Xenopus tropicalis: one gene and its partner. The protein of the gene in region 1 purifies or fractionates together with the protein of each later gene. This does not show direct contact. Links are inferred from orthologs where the notes say so. Each region holds a gene or a part of one and is shown on either strand. Other genes may lie near its edges.

The links.
Region 2: the proteins of itsn1 (region 1) and eps15 purify together in Homo sapiens (co-immunoprecipitation; 3 studies listed by BioGRID and IntAct, with this or other methods). This does not show direct contact. The link is inferred for Xenopus tropicalis from reciprocal best matches to the Homo sapiens genes ITSN1 and EPS15.

Annotation. Positions count from the first base shown.
Region 1 is NC_030678.2:14,138,289-14,142,043, reverse strand, and holds the start of itsn1 (intersectin-1), read right to left. Parts: upstream 2,675-3,755; 5' UTR 2,441-2,674; intron 1-2,440. UniProt on the Homo sapiens protein: Adapter protein that provides a link between the endocytic membrane traffic and the actin assembly machinery. Acts as a guanine nucleotide exchange factor (GEF) for CDC42, and thereby stimulates actin nucleation mediated by WASL and the ARP2/3 complex.
Region 2 is NC_030680.2:96,305,616-96,309,270, forward strand, and holds part of eps15 (epidermal growth factor receptor substrate 15), read right to left. Parts: intron 2,824-3,655; coding exon 2,728-2,823; intron 2,357-2,727; coding exon 2,294-2,356; intron 2,143-2,293; coding exon 2,017-2,142; intron 1,933-2,016; coding exon 1,873-1,932; intron 954-1,872; coding exon 747-953; intron 1-746. UniProt on the Homo sapiens protein: Involved in cell growth regulation. May be involved in the regulation of mitogenic signals and control of cell proliferation. Involved in the internalization of ligand-inducible receptors of the receptor tyrosine kinase (RTK) type, in particular EGFR.

The DNA.
Region 1 (3,755 bases):
CTGACGATTGGCAAAAGGTCGGAACACGAATGGTTAGTAGCGAGACTATTTCGAAATACGACCGTACAATGATCTCTAATGTTGGTAGTACACCAAATTACTCAGCACAGCCAACAGCAATGAAAGGACAAGCAATGAATGAATAGGAGTACAAGCCAGAATAGGGTGGGTCGTTCCTCACAGAGGATCCCTTCATAGGGAGAATGAGAAAGTGTACGAAGCCCAGATACCACGATTGCTCTGAAACATTAGCTGCTTGCGTCATGTCTCCTAATCCAGCGCTGCACGTTATCACTAGGAAGGAGGCAATATAAAAACCTGCCAAAGCTGTGATGGGAGCGGTGACCTACAAACATGGGGGGGTGGGGTCACTGTGTAAGGGGGTGAGACTTCCCATATAGCCAAGCCTTTTCATCATTTATCAAACATTAGAGCTTCCACAACAGTGAGGAAAAACTAGCACAAGTGCCCCCCAACCTGCTCACAAGAGCTTACACTCTAGAGCACAGAAATTCCCCTAGGGCTAACCATCTAGGTGCAAGTACAGGTATGGGACCTGCTATCCAGAATGCTCAGGACCTGGGGTTTTGCGGATAAGGGATCTTTCCATAATTTGGATCTCCGTAACTTAAATCTCCTAAACATCATTTAAATATTGAATAAACCCAATAGGGCTGTTCTGCCCCAATAAGGGGTAATTATATCTTAGTTGGGATCAAGTACAGGTACTGTTTTATTATTACAGAGAAAAGGGAATCATTTAACCATTAAATAAACCCAATAGGGCTGTTCTGCCTCAATAAGGGGTAAATATATCTTAGTTGGGATCAAGTACAGGTACTGTTTTATTATTACAGAGAAAAGGGAATCATTTAACCATTAAATAAACCCAATAGGGCTGTTCTGCCCCCAATAAGGGGTAATTATATCTTAGTTGGGATCAAGTACAGGTACTGTTTTATTATTACAGAGAAAAGGGAATCATTTAACCATTAAATAAACCCAATAGGGCTGTTCTGCCCCAATAAGGGGTAATTATATCTTAGTTGGGATCAAGTACAGGTACTGTTTTATTATTACAGAGAAAAGGGAATCATTTAACCATTAAATAAACCCAATAGGGCTGTTCTGCCCCCAATAAGGGGTAATTATATCTTAGTTGGGATCAAGTACAGGTACTGTTTTATTATTACAGAGAAAAGGGAATCATTTAACCATTAAATAAACCCAATAGGGCTGTTCTGCCCCCAATAAGGGGTAAATATATCTTAGTTGGGATCAAGTACAGGTACTGTTTTATTATTACAGAGAAAAGGGAAATCATTTATAAAAATTAGAATTATTTGTTTATAATGGAGTATATGGGCAATGGCCTTTCCATAATTTGGAACTTTCTGGATAACAGGTTTCCGGATAAGGGATCCCATACCTGTACATTGGCTGAAAATCAAAGTGCTGAGACTAAATGACACCTTAGAAGGCAACAGATTCCTAAAAAATGAATACCTGGGAAACGCACTTCAAACAGAAATTGGACCGCCCTTACCAGGAGGAAGGATAGATAGATATAGATCATTTTTACATTACAATTCATGATAAATATGGCACTGCTACTTAATTTAAATTCCATCTAAAATCCAAATAATAATGACAAACTGAAATTTAGGAAACACATATTTTTAGCTATAATGCCTATTGCCCTGATCCTGTATACATACATACATAGCAGTAAGCCATATTTGTTCAGAGAGGTGCCCCTCTATATGACGGTTTATATATACAAAGAAAACCATGGGGTCTCAATGCCTATGTAAGTCAATGTACTGGCCCCCTATAGAAGCATTACAAGGACCTTGGGTCAATAAAATGTGTTTATATCTTTTGTAGTTATTATTAGTTGAAGAATATGCAGTTGTAAGTAGGTTTCCACTTTATGTTAAAGCTCAAAGTTTTGAGTAAATGTAATTGCTTTTCAGGCAACATTTATGTGTTTAGCCTTGACTTGTGAAACAGTGTTGCAATGTCACATCTGCCCAGGGTTCTGCTACATTGTTTCAGGAGTCAGAAACACAAGGCATATAGACAGAAGGATGCTGCTGTTGGTAGCAGATACATTGTATTAATGAATTGGTAGATGGCTATGCCATTCTCCCTTGGGTGGAGCCCCCCAGCCAGCACTGCTTGTCTCCCTAGAGTGCTCCCCTATGTTGGTTTATTCCATTGCAGGACATCAGCATGGGGAAATCACTGACATACAGAATTGCAAGCATTGCCATGTAATTAACTGAATCCCCAAATCCCATGTTGGCCGCCCAACTCCATATCCCTCAGCCATTTGCCGAGCCATTGGTGGCTGCAGCTGTTCCACCCCGCACATAATCCAGGCAAAGCATTAATCATATTTAATGGTGATAATAATGCGCCCCGGCACAGCTCTCACCTCATAGCGGTCCTCCACCCTCTCCTCTGCCACAGGGATTAGCACCGGCTATGTCCAATACGGCTCCCCTCTCAGACAGCTCGGCTGTATGGCAACATGCCCTCTGCTTCAGCGCCCCTCCTCCCCTTACTACTCTCCCAATGCCCGTGTCCGTACGACTCTCCCCTTGTGCCTGTAGTACAGTGCGGATCCCCTCACCCCGCACCGCCGTCCCCTCCCACCAATACTACGCACCCACACCACCAACCCGCTTTCTGACGTCACGCGGTGCCGGCCCAATCAAAAACAAGGAAAGACACGCCTATTCTGTAGCTTCAACCAATAGTATGCCGCGTTCTTTTTCTCCCTGCCATTCAATGGGTGTGGTGTCGTCATCACGCCAGCGAACTCCTCACATGACTCACACCGCTGGTGTCTACGGCGGCCATTAGCCTTGAGGGCGCTAACACTTAAACCTTTATGTGAGGGGTAAAGCATAGCATGTGACAAAGACAGATTGGAAACATTAATCCAGAGATAGGGTTGGGCAGAAAGGACGTTATAAGGAGCTTCCAGCCTCGGGAAGGCTATAGATACATGTCTATGAAGATTTTCATTCATCCAGGTCATGGTATATCTAGTATAAATAAATTTGAAGCAACTGAGAACTAAACAAGTCCAGTTGCTTCAAATTTATTTATGCTATAGATACATATTACCTATTCTTTAGTTGAGCAACTGTGGATTATGCAGGGTGCGATTGATTCATTTATGTAAACCACTTTGCTCAGACACAGATAAGGGTAAAGACACACGGAGATACTTAGTAGCAGCTACTAAACTCCAGAAAATACCCTGCCATAGACAATACTGAGAATTGCCTCTGCTAAAACACATGTAGAGACAATTATCAGTAAATGATCAGCATTGTCTGTTTTAGTAGCCGTGACAAGTAGCTGCTACTAGTAGCTCCGTGTGTCTTTGCCCTAAAGGGGCCCAAGACATTTTGCATTTTTACCCTTCACTCAGGAGCTTTGCACTGACTATGAAAGCAATACTTCAGCAATAAGGTTTCAAAGAGCTTTATTGAAACCAAGTTCATAGTAAATTCATAATTAACATTTGTTTCACAGAACATAAAAACATAAAATCATGAATCACAACACAGTTTTTATAAAAAGATACAGAGTACAATAAAAAAAAATACTTCAGAAATAAGGGATACAGAAAGAATGCGTTAGATTGGCAAGACAGATGTTGAGGTTAATATGCCAGGCCTTAAGATGGCTGCCGTAGCTATGCGTCACATGACAATGATGCGGGGGGACTCTGCAGA
Region 2 (3,655 bases), on another chromosome or scaffold:
GTTACTAAATTACAACTGAAGCTTGCAGAAGAAATTGGGTAAATGAAACATGCTCTATTCACAGGTTAGTTATTTCTCTAGAAATTTCAGAAACCACAGGATGGAACTCACAAACCATGTTTTGCCAATTAACAGATTGCATACTTTTCCAGTCTTTAAAGCGGACCTGTCACCTTAAGAAATAATTTCAAATTGTTTTCTATTGTGTTTGGCAAGCAAAATAAACTTTACTTACACTGTATAAATTATTTTAATCTTATTTTCTTCAGCCTTGGAATTCACAATTGCAGTAAGCAGGCAGGGGCCATTTTGTGGACACTGTTATCAAAGCAGGCATTGCATCCTGCCAATAACCTTTTTTTGTGCCAGTATGGGGGGACCTGAGGCCCAATGTCCATGCACTGGTTACACAATTACATGGTGAGGAGGGAGGGGAATGTGAGGGGTGCAGCAACATCTAAGAGGTTCTGAACTGAAAGTGAAAGTAACTGTCTGCCCCACCTCTATGCCTAAGGCATAGAGGCGGGGCAGGCATTATATGATTGACAGCTGGGATTTTAAAATGCTTTTATAATGGGTATGGATGTGGTAATAAAAACATGATTTTGGGTTTCTTGTTTAATTTGAAAAGGGCTTTTATTATACAGCTTTTTATGTCTGGATGACAGGTCCACTTTAAGTAAATGATCTGACCAAATCTTTTACACATTGATATATGTAGTATAAAAAGTTAAAAAAAAACCTACCTGGGTCACTTGAACCTTTGTGGGCAAAATTCCAACTGGTGGCAGCGATTGCCGCGACTCTTTAGAAGGTGGCATAGGTAAAGTGGGAATGACTGGTAAAGATGCAGAAGAAATGGAGACTTTCCTCTTGGATTGTGGTACCAGAGTATGAGGTAATGACATGGGAACTGGCTCTTTCTCAAGAGCAGAGTATACAAGAAACATCGCCTGTGAGATTAAAGGCAAACCACTTAATATTTTGCTCTCTAAAGATTTATCCTCAAGAAAAATTTGCTATAATATTAGGTTTTCAGTGGCCAAGGAAAAATAAAAACCAACTTTCATGACAAAACAAGATAAATGCAGGGCATTTTTTTTTTTTTTTTTAAAGTGAAAAGTGAAATACATGCACCCTTTAAAAGTGCACAAAAAATGTATTTATGTATGCTGTGCAACACATTCAGCATAGCTTTACATAGATTAACCTTGTTTGTGCATTATCTTAACATACTTTTGAAAAACACAGCACAGAAGCAGCTGGCTGGGTTGGTACCAGGGACATCCCACTTTCAGCCAGCTCTGGGTTTTGACAAAAATGCTTCCACTACATTCCACTTTGGAAGCTTTGCACCCCAAACAAGGGAAACTGTCTTGCTTTGCACATACAGAAAACCGAAGGACAATAGCACAAGGCATGTTTTCCAGCAGATACATTACGTTTCATTCATTACTATCAAAAGTGGTAACCGGCAGACTGGCATTTTGACCACTTTTAGTCTACACTGGGCAGCAGACAAAATCTGCCAGAGCCTTAAACCTTGGGCGTCACATAGGCCTGAGTTTTGTTAATTGTATTTTCTTGTGCAGTTTTCAAGAAACAAACATAAAAGCCTACAGTAATTTTTATAGCAATGACCTTCCAGACCAACATCTCAAAGTTGATAGAATGTGGGAGGTTCCAGGTACTGATTCTAGTCCTGGGCTGTGCTGGTCATTTTTTATTTCCACGATAACTTTTTTTAGAAAGAATTACCAGCATTCTTGGACAGCTTTAGCTTTTATCAGTCTGAGGGCCACAAATGATTAACTATGAAGTTATTTCATGGTACACAGTAATAAACTAAAAAAAAAAAAAAGATGTACTTACAACAGCAAACTCATCTCTGTCTAATAAACCATCATGGTCGATATCACTTAACTCCCAAACCTAAAAATGATAAAGAAAATTTCATGGCTACAGAAAAAGCTAGATGGGATTAAAGGGAAGTGAAGTGTCAGAGTCAGTACTTACTCTTCCCAGAATTTCCACAGAAAGTTTTGAATTAAGCAACACAGGTTTAACCTTATCACCAGACAGGAATCCATTCACTGGGTTTAAACTGTCAAATATGGCATCGTATTTGGCCTTTTCGTCTGGCTGCCATATGTAAAAAAATAAATAAAATAAAAATTGTTACTAAACATCTGGACATGATGTACAAACAAAACATACTATACACATTCTATGACAGTTGGAGGTTTGACTAGGTTACTCCATCTAAAAACATAGGACATGCTCTACCACTTACCTTGACAGCCCATGGTATGTCTGTAGTTACTGCTGTTCCAAATAAGGGTGGGCTTCCTGCATCCTGCAGAAACAGGTGGGGAATTCACTTATCAACAGCAGACAAATACATTGAGCATGTACCTTAACAGATTTAACCGAGTGGCCATGTTAAAACCTGGCTCTAAATGTCTTAAAGATTCAGTTATATAATTTCCCAATCTTATATAAAAGAAATTAATATGATATCACACTGCAGACTAAAATACTCCCTACAAAACTAGCAACACACTTTTACAAACTAAGTAACAAATAATTGCAATGCATTGGTACTTACATATTCTAATGCGTAACGTCATTTTGGGGAATATTAAAAATGTCAATTATTAACAGGTCGGTAAATTATTTAAGGAAACAGAATATAAACATATACATAAAAGCAAAATATACACCTACAAATCTGGGAGGGGGAACCACAGCTTTAAGACTACTAAGGCAGACTTCCATTCCATTCTGTGCACATGCTACCAGCTGCAGGGCTACAAAAAACTCCTGGGATGTACAAATTAGGGAAGCAAAAAGAAATAAAATAGTCAGTAAAATGGAAACAATAACGCATTAAAAAAATTCAATTAATATTTCTACAAAAACATTTACTTAGAAACTCAAAACAGGATCCAAGGAAGGATATTATGCCATACTCAGTAATGTACTAGGTCACAGGATTTCCACTCTACTACAGCATAATGTGTTGGAGGTTAATAATGCATGAGAGTTCAGGCCATATTAGTGTGGAATTCAAGTACAGTGCCAACACAGTTGCTAGGGATGGATCAGGTGCAGATTTAAGTCGGAGGGGTCTGGCTGGCAAACGGCAGTACAAAGCTTTAAGGAAGGAATTTTTATCTAAAGGTAGGGTCCTAAAATTAGGCCCCTTTGCTGCTTAGGGTGGGTCTCCCTGTTCCCCCATAAGAACATAATTTTTTTTCATATTGATTTTAAAGATGTGACCACATCATTTATACAGATGGAAAAAGATGATCTGCATTCACACATATCAATAAAATAAGGGCAGAGAATACGAAAAGACCAGTTTAAATAACAATTACATTCACAAATAATTATTCATGTATTAACATAACTAAAGAAAGTTAAAATGTTTTAGCTGTCAATGTAAAGTCAGCATACAGATTACTTTAAGACCTAACAACATGTTGTCTGTGCATGCGTAAATTATACTGAAAAGGAAAGGGCAATTTATTACAGGAGAATGGGAGACCTATTTATCAATTTTTTACAGCAATAATGTAGTGGGTCATTTCCAAGACAGTACTATTGCTTAACTAACATAGAAGAGTAAGAATCTAAGAAGGCGACGCTGATA